3 linked regions of the Tribolium castaneum genome follow. The protein of the gene in region 3 purifies or fractionates together with the protein of the main gene of each other region. This does not show direct contact. Links are inferred from orthologs where the notes say so. Each region holds a gene or a part of one and is shown on either strand. Other genes may lie near its edges.

Region 1 (4,292 bases), on a different chromosome or scaffold from region 3:
GCACTCCAAAGCTCGACGACTGAATCTGGGAGGCTCTAAATCATGCTCGGGCATATCGGTCTCAACTGAAACAGAAGGAGAATACACAAACGGACAGTTAATACGAGTCAAATAAGAATAAAGAGTCTCACTATCTGAAGAAGGTGTTTTATTTCGGGAATTTGCCGATGCCGTCCTGGGCCTGGTGTGACGAAACTGTCGCTGTTCTTGATTTTGTCGACCAACAGTTTGGACCAAAAACAGCAAGATACTTTCGCCGCGTGAATTCGGCAAACAGACGAGATCGGTTTCTTTAACCAAACGTGTCAAAAGTTCGTAACGGACCGTTTGGTTCCCCATTATCAATGCTTTGCATTTACATTTCTCCCAGCAGTCGCAGTAAGCCGTAGGCGAAGTCCTTTTTAACTTGCAATCGTGGCCTTTGTGGCAAACACGCGCACACTCCGTACAGCAGCAAAGCGTTCCGGTGAGGCCACAAGTGCGACATTCAAAAATATCCTACAATTTTAATTACAAAAACTATTTTTTTTCGTACCATGTCTTACTTGATTGATGTGTTCGGCCCCAGTCCAGGTAAAACTACACGTGTCGTTGCAGCACAGAACATGCAGAGGTGAGTGATCCGGATTTGAACCTTTCGGAAAGATCATCTCTTCGCGTTCCTGAGGAGTCCCCAATTTAATGATTCTTTCGAAAATTTCCAACGCGGCTGGATAACTTCGCGACGATACGGCCAACATGAACGGAGTTTGACCTTGTGCATCCCTAAAACCAATCCCAATGGTTATTTAATCAAACTCGCAGAGAAAAAAATTACTTTGCACATAAAAGCTCGATGAGATGCGACTCCAAAGCCGAGGAATCATACAAAAGCGCGTGTAAGATTTGCATCGCGTTTGATCGTCTTTCAACTGGATCGACGACGAGATTCGTCGGTGCGTTACTGTTGTTTCCGCTCCCTTTATTATTGGCAGCACTGCTTCCCAAACCCATCAGACTATCCTCATCGCCTGACGTAACATCGAAGCTTTCCGGTGGCCAACTGTGTGTCGGTATCGGTTCTTCTTGGACGAAACTGTGCTGATCTGCAGAGTTAGAAGTATTGTTGAGTGCGCTTTCGCTACGTACAACGGCTCTACGCATCATATCGCGTAGCGTAACTGATCGAGGGCCTACGGCGTTCGTTATCACATTGATACATTCCAGGCCAGCTGACGGGTCTGGAAATGACGATCCCAACAAATCAAGCTACGCACGCGACTTGAGCCTAACGTAATCACCTAAAGCATAAATTTGGCCAACTCACCGCTTTCAGTTTCCTTGTTCGACGTCGGCGTACACATGTTCACAACAGCGTGGAAAATGTTACGATTGCCGTCGCAACGTTCGTTTAAGATATTCGAAATGTTGGCTTCTGAAAATTTTTCATCACAATATCACACGGGAAAATAGTAAAACTTACTCAAATCGCTGTCTAGTTGGGCCAAAACTTGCCGGACGCCATCAATATCACAACGTAGTATTTTCGGCATGAGTAGTTGTTGTTCAAGTGCAAAGACAACAATAGCCACTTGATTCTTCATGTTGAGGCCGGTTCCAGTCAAACCAAATGTACCAGCTGTCAGGCACTTGACTGGAGGCAAGTCTAGACATTGTGGGTCGCGAATCGCATCGGCGCAATCTTTACTGAGGGGGTAAATCGTGCTGTTACCGTCGCGCAAAACCAAAATTGTTTCAGAACTCTGAAATACAAACAATGTAACAATCAGGCAAACACTACAAACGACATACTTCTCCAGCACAAATCAAGTTGATCAAATGTGGATAGAGCCCCATGAACGAAGCAGTGTCGCTCGGAAATGGATTATCTTGTTCAATTCTTCCGCTACTGACGTTGTAAACGACATAACTCAATTTACTCCCGTTCCGAACTATGGCATGTATGCCTTGTCCATCAACGGCAATCGTGAGAATTTGATTGCTATTGTCGGAAATTTGGATACGTCGAGGTGTTTTTTGAAAACAGTCAGGAACGCGTGAATTAGACGACGATTTGATCACCTACAAAACACAAATAATTTTGACCGAAACCAAATTATTGTTCATACTTGGAGGTCGTCCTTGCGCATCAATCGACAATCTTGGAAAATATCGTCGGCATCTTTGGCGTCACGATCTCTGGAATGTCCACTTGGAAATCTGACGGCGGCGTAAGCACCGTCCACTTTCAAAACGCGACCTGCTGGAACACTTCGTACATCTTCCACGAAAATTACATTCCGTAGAAGCCACTCCTCTTCGTCTTTTCTTTGCTCCGAACCGGTGTCGCTCCCAGACACGGTCATGCGTTTTTGGCGCTCTTTAATTGTTTTATTAATTGGTTTTACAATAACTGTAGAAAACTTACTGTGACTGTTTGAAATACTTCCGGTATCGCTGCAAGTACTCGAAGCCGGCGATGGTGGCGGTGGCATATCAAGCCTATCGGCGTTTTCTTTATTCGACGAACTTTTATTTGTTAAATTCGCTGCAACGAACATTAACCCCGTAAACATTTAAGTCCAGTACAGATAAAATAGTTTATAAATATCAAAAAAGACTTACATAACCCGCTAGGGCCCGGCACGGCATCTCTCCCCTTATCGGCACTCGAAGCTCCACTCGTTTGCACGTTGATAATCTTAAAAGTGCAAGTATCGCTCAACGTCCAAGCCGCATTCTGTAATTGGCCCACTTTTGGTACTCCATTGGCGATGGTAAACCCTATCGCACCCGCTTGATACATGGGACTGTTCTTCATACAAACTTGCGACCCAGTAACGATCTCTGATTGATTGTTTGAAGGTCTTTGTTTCCGGCACTTTGTACGGTATTTCTCCCACAATCGTTTGCGTTGAGCAAACGGTTAAAACGCCCCTTTAATCAATTTTTTTAGCAAAATGGGTCAATAATATACGTGAATCAATACTCACCACCAGTACAAAGCACCACTTTCAAGCTTCGCAACCGTGTACAACGGACACGTGTACAAAGCTGCAACCTTGTCAGTTTGAAACTCGGAATAGGCCTGAGCTGAATGTTCCAATTTAGCTGCTGCTGGCGCCAAAAGCTCGTCTAACCAAGTGGCGACTTTGCCGCTTTCGGTTGAGACCGAGCAACGGGTGCAACAAGCCGAGAGATGGACGATTTTTTCGCCCATTAGACCCAAAGGAACTGTCTTGGGGTGATGTATGTTACAATTCTGGAACGAATAAATGCATTTCGGTTGGTTTCAAGTGTCTATGAACGTACCTCTGGATGTCTGTAAGGTTCGGGGTCGTTCCAACGCCATTGAAACAATTGTCCGTTACTCGACAATGCGATTAATTCCGAGTAGAGACTCGCAATTTGGACGAATTTCGGTGCAGAATCGGGCCAAAATTCCAAGTCGTCGGAAATCCAAAGTGGACACGCGCTGTCTTTCTTCTTGTGATCTAAATTTGGTATTTAATGTCGTATTCAATAAAAATCACTAGCACCAACCTGAATCTTTTTCGTACGGACTTTCCCTTAGTGCCGTTTCAAGCCACCTCCTAGGTCCGAAATACTGACGATCTCTCCACCTCGAAAAATTCTCTCTGTCTCGATCTGAATTCGAACTATTGCTCGGTGGTGCATCTCTGTCGGCCAATCGACTCCTTCCACTGCCGCGACTATTAAGGAAGCTTGTTTGAGCAAAGTCAAACATTCCCAACGAGTTAGTTAAAATGCAAAAAAAATAGAAAAAAATGCAAGCGATAGAGTTGTTAACCAACAAAAAAAGCGCAACTACACAAAAAGCGAGTCAAACAGATCAAACCAAAAATCCTTACTTCCTAATGCCCGAATATCCAAACATATCTTCGGAAAACATCGCATCAGCATCGATTATCACCGAATGATCGGTATGAAACCCTCCGTCAAGCAGCGAAATTAGATCCTCTGGAACGTAAGAATCAGCTGCATCGTCTCCTTCCTCTCCTTCTTCATCATCGCGCGACAATAAATTATTAACGGCTAAATTAACATCAAGATTTGTGCGTTGCAACTCCCGTATTATCAAATTCCGGCTCTTCCCCTGAAGCACCACCTGAGCTTGCGAAACCAGCTCTTCTGGGACGTAGGGCGCTGGCACCGTCACCATCGGCCTTCCACTGCTCGAACTGCTCGTTCCTATGATAACCGGAGCACCACGACCGCCTGAAAGTAAAGGACTCTGTACATTTAAGGACGACAGAGTTAAACCAAGTATATTGCCCTGAAAAGGGTCTGGA
Region 2 (3,929 bases), about 9.7 Mb from region 3:
ATTGGAGCTTATCGAAGTCATAAATACCAAATATTTGCGACGAAGTAAGTCTAGTTATTATAATTAATTATTATCAAAACGTTAATTTCTTTTTAACCTAGTCTTTGGGAAAAATTCCTGCATCATTTGTAGAGAAATACTATTTGTGTTTTTAAAAACCGCTTAATTTATGGGTTGCATATCCAAATTTAGAGACGATTTCACGTGGGACAGTAAGGAAAAGTATGTAGAATAACTACTCAACTATTGACCTTTAAATGTTAACAATTAAAAAAATATACGTTAAAGACACATACAGGGTAAATCACTCATGGATTATTTGTAATGTTTTTAGATACAACCAATAATAATAATACTAGAATAATACTTATTTTCAGCTACAGATTTCTAGCTGCCCAGATCAGCCAACGTTCAAAATTTCAAAATTAATACACGATTGCGTTATTCTAAGTATTTTCAAGTTTGTCTTTATTATAGTCTATTATTATTTAATCGTCATTTTATCTTAAATACATTTTATTTTTCGAATTATTGGACTCTACAAGGCTTAAAATTACTTTAAATCTATTAAAAATAATCTGACGTTTCGTATACAGAAATGCCAAACATTTTTCAAAACTTCCGTACACAGAAGAAAACCATAAATTTTGACCGAAAGAAAGACATAAAAGACAAAATACCAATCTTGATTCAATTAATGTTTTAAAAATCAAATGTTGAAAACAAAAGTTGTTAAAGTAATTATAATTAATTAGTATTTTTGGTTGCGTCTTAGGACATGATAGTCAGAAATAACCTATAAATAAATCATCTTTTATATTCATTCACTCATTCACCACATCATCTAAAAAAATAATTTTCAAGTTTGTAATTTTAAGTCTTCAAAAATGAGTTACAACATTTTTGCATTTATTAGAATTTCTAATAATGTATTGAATTTGTTGTGTTTGCATAGTTTTTGAATTAAATTGATACAAACTACTCTTTATTAAAAAAATTATTACTAATCATTACTCAATAACAATAACAGAAAAACCTTTGTAAAACAGAAAACACTTGTTTAAGTTCACTTTTCTTTATTTTTGTATGAGTTATAAGTTATAAGGTATTTTTTACGAATTTAATTTCTCTTGATTCTACTGATCAAAGCTAGATCGGCGTTGTCTGCAGTCCCTTAACTCCTCTTAAAATACTGAAAAAAAAGTAGTAAAACGAAAAGTAAGTTTCACTAAATAAACTAAATAAAGAAAAGAAATACATGTTCAGTATGAATTTTCACCGAAAAACAAATGTTTTTCAGAAACAATTTTTATGTATTTTAACATGAAATCTATGTAACTTAATCCTAATCATCAACTAACAAAAAAATTTGCAGTTTTTTGAAAGGATGAACAAAGCTAGAGAAGGCAATCTAATTTCTCAAAGTTTGTAATCAAGTTCGTATTGGAATATGTATTGTTGATTGCATTTTACAGGCGCAGGCCTCGTAAACTTACGTGAACAACCTTGTAGTAATTAAAAGACAAGTGTGACATTTAAAAATAAAGTAAAAAGAATTATATTCCTATCCATTTTATTATTGTCGTTTTATTAATAATTATTAAAGAACAGTTATGTTGTTTTTTTATGAAAAAATACTACAAAACTATCAATTTCTCAACCCGTTAACAACAGAAATTTAAAATTTGATAAAAACTGATCTGTGAGGTAACGTTTTTTTTATAGGAACAACATGCTATTGAAAAAAAATGTTTTCTTTTATAATTTTCCCTAAAAATTTAATTTAAAATTTTTCATTCGATTAAATTTAACCTTAAGTGACAGCTGTCATGTAACAAGGCCTTCTTGAACGATACATTATTTTATTAAAAATTGCTATTAGAGGTAAATGAATACAGTTTTTTTACTTGCTAAATCCAGACTTTACTTATAGTGTAATATTTGACACCAAAACTACTTGGTTTTTATTAATTATAATTATTACAGGTGTTTAGGATTTGTCCTCGATGTATTGTTGGTTGCAAGTTAATTGGGATTATACACTTCAGGTACCACGATTATTGATAAATCGGCGTAAAACTGCGTTATAAATTGAAAACGGTTGGAAAACAAGGAGACTGTTATTATGTAAGCAAAACAAAGTTGCAAATTAGCTTGTCAATTGATTGCAAGTGAATTTGGACTAAAATTATCCATAAATAGTTATGAAGCGTTAGAGATGGATTTTGAAGCTATAATAAAAAATGTTGATGCGTCCGTGGAAATGTCAAATCTGACAGTGTTAGATCCTAACCCCAATCTAATAATTTAAAATCAAAGCAGTCTATTTAACATGACTAAGCAAATCACAGCAAGCCTTGAGCCACGGCACGACGTTTTGACAGCAGCACTGGTCAAAAAAATGTCGAAAACCGTCGAAAGAATAAAAAGTGTGTCCGTCCGTGTGCGTATATTTCTAAAATTAAAACAAACGCGAGCAATATGACGCCATATTCAATACCTTTTCCAATAAACTCGCAAAACACCTTGTCGACATTTTAAAAGCGTCCGCACAAAACACTGCCAATACTCGAATCACCACCTTCGAAGGGATGTCTGGACCACGTCGGCACGGTGTTATTATTCTTCAGCTGGGTACTTACCAGTTACGTATTCGTCGTCACCGAGTTTGAAGCGATCGGAGTGGGTAAGCGGGCTATACGTAGTAACCACGTCAAAATTTCTGGGCGGTCGTCACTGGACGAGAACAGAACACAAGTGCGCGTCACAGCAATGGCGCCCGAGAGCGCGCTTGCAGCCTCCTCTCGCACCGCACTCCACGTCTCGCCCGCGATCCCTTCGACGACGACGGCCTCCGTGCCATGGCTTGACCCATGTGTGAGGCTGGAAAGGAAAATCGTGGATTTTCGCGGCGAAAATCTTTGAATTTTTTTGACATTTCCATGGTCAAAGGCAACTTGATCGTTTGCGAGTGCTATTTTCAACAGCTGATTTGAAAATTTTCCAAGTTGAGTGGAATCGTTTTGAAATTTTTCCACGGTTTTCGCCAGTGATGCAATGACAGGATGGTTCCATTCATTTTCGGTGTTTTTCTTAAAGAATCTTTCATTTAGCATTTTTTGAGCACATTTCAGTGGCGTATCACAACAATAACGTTCCTCCTACATCCTCCATGAAGCAGTTTAAATTGTTGAATATACAACAAGATTGGTGTGTACGTATTATCTCATTTTACAGTTGTACCCATGTGGACTAGTCCGACGAGTTAACTATTTAAAAAGTAATTAAGTATTCTTTCAGATTCTAAATATTTTCAGAAAACAAAAAATAAGTGTCTGAATTTGATCTAATTCAAATCCCTCTCATTCTCATTACTCATTCGTTTCTGCAAAGTGCAAATGTTCAGAATATCGAACCCATTAGATTATGATGAAGCCCGAAGAATGGTAGAGTCCGAGCACCTAATAATGACGCTCTAAACAGTTAGCACATTTTTTGTTAATTCTTCATTTTTGAAATCTTTATAATGTGAAATGTTGAAGACGAATTTGATTACTTTGTTATCATTGTGATCTTTATTTAATCTTGTATTCTCCGACTGACAATGTGTTTTCCGAACTTTTTGAGCCGGGAGTGGTTAAAAAGAAGAATAGTAAACAAAATGCTTTTTTTACAACAATTGGATTTTGCTCTTACAAAATAATAACAACGGTGAGCCAAAAATTTTGGGCACTTTGTCATTGTTAAAAAGGATAGGGAATTACACACGTTTATTTCAACGAAATGTCAAAGATGTCCGAAATTTTTTGTTCCCCACCACAGTTCAGTAACACCTTAATTAATTTGTACTCGAGTTGTAATAGTGTTATGTATGATGGATATAACGTATAAAAAAAATTGATGTCATTTTTTCTGAATTATTGGGAAAA
Region 3 (3,500 bases):
TCTAATTGCAATTCTTCATAAATAATTCCGAATATTACAAACAGTTTCAAAAAAATACTTCTACAAGCTTGCCCTTGAAGTCCAAAAATCTTACAAAAAAGAGAAGCAAATAAAATACTGAACCATAATATATTAAAAATTCAATTTTAATTTTTTATTGTGTGTAATATGTAAATCTTCAAAAGTAGAAATTGAAAAGAAATCCTGAGGTCAAGTTATCTAGACCAGAAATGGTTCTAGTTTAAAGCTCAAAGCTCTCATTTATTAGCAAAAACTTCAAATCAATAATTATATAAAACAGGCGTAAGTACTATACGAAGTAAGTTACAGAATAATAATGAGAATAAAAAAGTTTAATAAGTGAAAACAAAATAGAACCGTTAAATATTGTATACCCACCCTTAAGATCGAAAATGCTGTCGTAGCACAAGAAGAATTAAGAAAAAAAACCGGTGTTTATTAAAAGTCTCAAATATGATTGTGTCCGTAATTTAAATAAACAAATAAACTTATATAAATTGGATATTTTGTATTACGATAAAGTATGGTATTCATATTACCTAGCCAGAATGTCTTAGAATAATCTATAAACTATTCAGTTATTTTATCTTTCCAGTAAAATAGCAAAGATTCTTGGCTAATTTGTAAACTAGCCGCTATTTTAGTTGAAACTGTGTTTTCTATTAAAATAGCGAATGGTCTGACTAGTTTACAAACTAGCCAAGTTTACACACTAGCCGTAACAGATACAATAAGTAACTGCAATGTCTTACCCTCTGTGTGTCCTGGAAGGCCCTCATCAGCAGCTGCACCAAATGATGTATCGCCCCATGCTCCCTTAGTGGTGCATGATTGGCCGGACACAGCGCTAAATTCCTGATAAGCCCGATAACGGCCTTGACTAGCGGCCAACGCGATGGCGGATTCAACAACTTCACGATAACTTGAATACCGTAATTCAACCTGACTGCATTTTGCGCCATTTCCGACTCCACATGTCTCGACGTGAGATGTCGCAAAGCGCAAACGGCCGGTTCTGTGATCTCCTCACGATCCCCAGCGCTCACAATTGTGCGCACAAGGGCATCAACACCACCGACTTGGCAAACGGTGACTTTGTTGCGTTGGTTGTTACACGTCAGGTTAGACAAAATACCAGAAGCGCAAGTAACGACGTGGACGTCTTGCGAGTTCAAAACCTGCACCAGGGAACTGAGCAAGCCTTCGAGACCGTCGACTTTGGTCGCGGCATCGGAGAGGTTACGCAAGGTCCAGAGGCAGTTCTGCACGAGGCGGCCGCTGGGGTTCCCCAGGTGCATGGCCAGGGCTTGCATGCCGCCGGCTTCGACGATGGCCGGCTTGTTGCTCGGACACACGGATAGGACTTTCAAGACTCGGGACGTCGTCCAGAGCAACTTCTCGTAGTCGTACGACCGCATGATTCTCACGAGTTCGATGGGACCTTGCGATGCCAGAATAATCAGTTTGCTCTCCTGGTTGCCGTACGCCAGGATTTGCAAACAGTCGGTCACAATTGCCAAGAACTTGACGTTGTTTCGTTGCAACAACGCGACCATTTTTTGCAAGCCTCCGGCTAAGCGGACGGCCATTTTGGAGCCGTCTTGGTGAAGCAATAAATTGTGCAAGGTGGTGATGGCGTAAAAGAGCACACTTTCAACCGGGGAGCTCAGCAGTTTGACCAATGCTGGAATTCCCCCGCTTTTGAAGATGGCCAGGAGACCTTGCCGATGGTGCGATAATTTGTGCAAGGTGCCGACTGCACCTTTGGTCGTTTCCAGGTCATTCGAGTTGGAAATGGCCCTCACTAGCGCTGCCACCATTTGCGGACTGTTCATGATCGCGTGCCTCGAAGCCTCTTTCTTGGAGAGCTGGTGGACCATCATCGCGGCTTGCGAAACAACCACTTGGTCTTCGTCGTTCAATAGTTTGATCAGCTCGGGGATGGCACGAGTCGCCAAATCCGCGTCGTCTTGATAATTGATTAGATTGACGACTGCATGTTTGAGCATTTGACTCGGCTCGGAGAGCCTTTGAACGGCCGTCTGGTGGCTGGGATCGAACTGAGTCGAGGGGATTTCGATCCCTTCGTCCAAAGTCTCCGGAAACATGGCAGCTCTGACCCTCTGCGAGCGCGTCTGGTTGAGCTGGTTGTTCATTTCGTCGACCTGATCCTGGGTGAAGCCTTGGGAGTATCCTTGATCCAAGTCAAAGAGGTCCATGTCTTCTTCCTTCCCGCTCAGGGATGGTACCTGGGTGGCGGCTCCGGAGTGGATGCCGGAGTCGCCCATGTACGAGTTTTGTTGCCACATGAGGGTCTGTTCTTTCGCGGGCGGCATGGGTAAATCACCGGGGCCCCCCTGATAGTGGCTCTGCGAGACTGGACAAAAATAACTGTGTCACTTTGAGACTTACATGAGAGAAAATCCAGCTTGAATACATAGTAATGAAGGGGGTAAAAACTTGGGAGTTTATTAATGGGAACTCACGATTACAAAGTATAAGTGGATTATTAAAGAGGATGCAATCCCCTAGTACATTTGTTTGCGAGTTGTTCATGGGTTGGAAGTGACGTGGTCATTATTACGTGTTCGTGCGAAACCAACAAAGGGAATTTCAACATGTGCTGATGGTCGGGATAATCCCCTATTTGCATGAGGAAACAAAAATAAACGAATCTCATACATAATTATATTTAATAACGCTGGTAATATCCCGATAAGGACTGTTATAAGTAGCACTTTAGCTTTAGATAAGCACATGTCTCAGGCGAAAATTCTATTCTTCTCTTTCGCAACCCTTGGCATTGACTTTAAAATTCAATTTTAAACAATAAAAAAAGATTCTTAGTTATTTAACCCCGTATAATTTGAATTTGATGGACTAGTTATCAGAAGTCTTACTTATTTTTATGATGACGGGCCAGTTTCATAACCGAATTTAAAAGAGCATTAAATTAAATTATTAAAATGTGTAAAGTTTGTCAACAAATCGTAAAAACGAGCACTTTATAAGCAACATTTAATTTAATAATCCTTATTATGGTTATGAAAATGGCCCTAAGTAATAAGTTAATAACTAATAAGAATAAATTGCTGTTCAAAATTGAAAATCAAAAATGAGTGCCGCTTTTATAAAAAATAGAAAACAATTGAAATTTTCTTCACCTCTAGAAAAATAAAAATTTATATTCTAAAATAATACCAGTAATTAACTAAAGGAATAAAAAGAAATTAAATTGAAAATACGATTATTATTTTTTATACTAGTATTGTATTTTGTTATGTGATGGTCAGCAAAATAAAATGAGATCCTTAAAAGTAAAGCAAAAATAAAAAGCAAAATCGGGTACATCAAAAGTCGCAGACACACTATTGGGCCTTACTGATCAGTGACCACTAAACAAATAATAAAAAAAATTACTGCTTCTTATTGAAGATAAGTTACAAAAGTATTTATTATTTATATTTATATCGTAACAT

What was found.
Region 1: the proteins of armadillo segment polarity protein (region 3) and hyd purify together in Homo sapiens (affinity purification with western blotting; 3 studies listed by BioGRID and IntAct, with this or other methods). This does not show direct contact. The link is inferred for Tribolium castaneum from reciprocal best matches to the Homo sapiens genes CTNNB1 and UBR5.
Region 2: the proteins of armadillo segment polarity protein (region 3) and CrebB purify together in Homo sapiens (affinity purification with western blotting; 3 studies listed by BioGRID). This does not show direct contact. The link is inferred for Tribolium castaneum from reciprocal best matches to the Homo sapiens genes CTNNB1 and CREB1.

What each region holds. Positions count from the first base shown.
Region 1 is NC_087398.1:9,888,666-9,892,957, forward strand, and holds the start of hyd (E3 ubiquitin-protein ligase hyd), read right to left. Parts: upstream 2,801-4,292; coding exon 2,605-2,800; intron 2,528-2,604; coding exon 2,408-2,527; intron 2,360-2,407; coding exon 2,109-2,359; intron 2,062-2,108; coding exon 1,792-2,061; intron 1,743-1,791; coding exon 1,463-1,742; intron 1,415-1,462; coding exon 1,307-1,414; intron 1,086-1,306; coding exon 818-1,085; intron 766-817; coding exon 546-765; intron 499-545; coding exon 132-498; intron 66-131; coding exon 1-65. Other genes in the region: E3 ubiquitin-protein ligase hyd-like, read right to left, coding at 2,969-3,241, 3,292-3,473, 3,523-3,704, 3,852-4,218. UniProt on the Homo sapiens protein: E3 ubiquitin-protein ligase involved in different protein quality control pathways in the cytoplasm and nucleus. Mainly acts as a ubiquitin chain elongator that extends pre-ubiquitinated substrates.
Region 2 is NC_087395.1:6,453,005-6,456,933, forward strand, and holds the start of CrebB (cyclic AMP-responsive element-binding protein 1), read right to left. Parts: upstream 2,801-3,929; 5' UTR 2,643-2,800; intron 2,637-2,642; exon of another isoform or gene 2,537-2,636; coding exon of another isoform or gene 2,501-2,536; intron 1-2,500.
Region 3 is NC_087395.1:16,178,640-16,182,139, reverse strand, and holds part of armadillo segment polarity protein, read right to left. Parts: intron 2,399-3,500; coding exon 774-2,398; intron 1-773. UniProt on the Homo sapiens protein: Key downstream component of the canonical Wnt signaling pathway.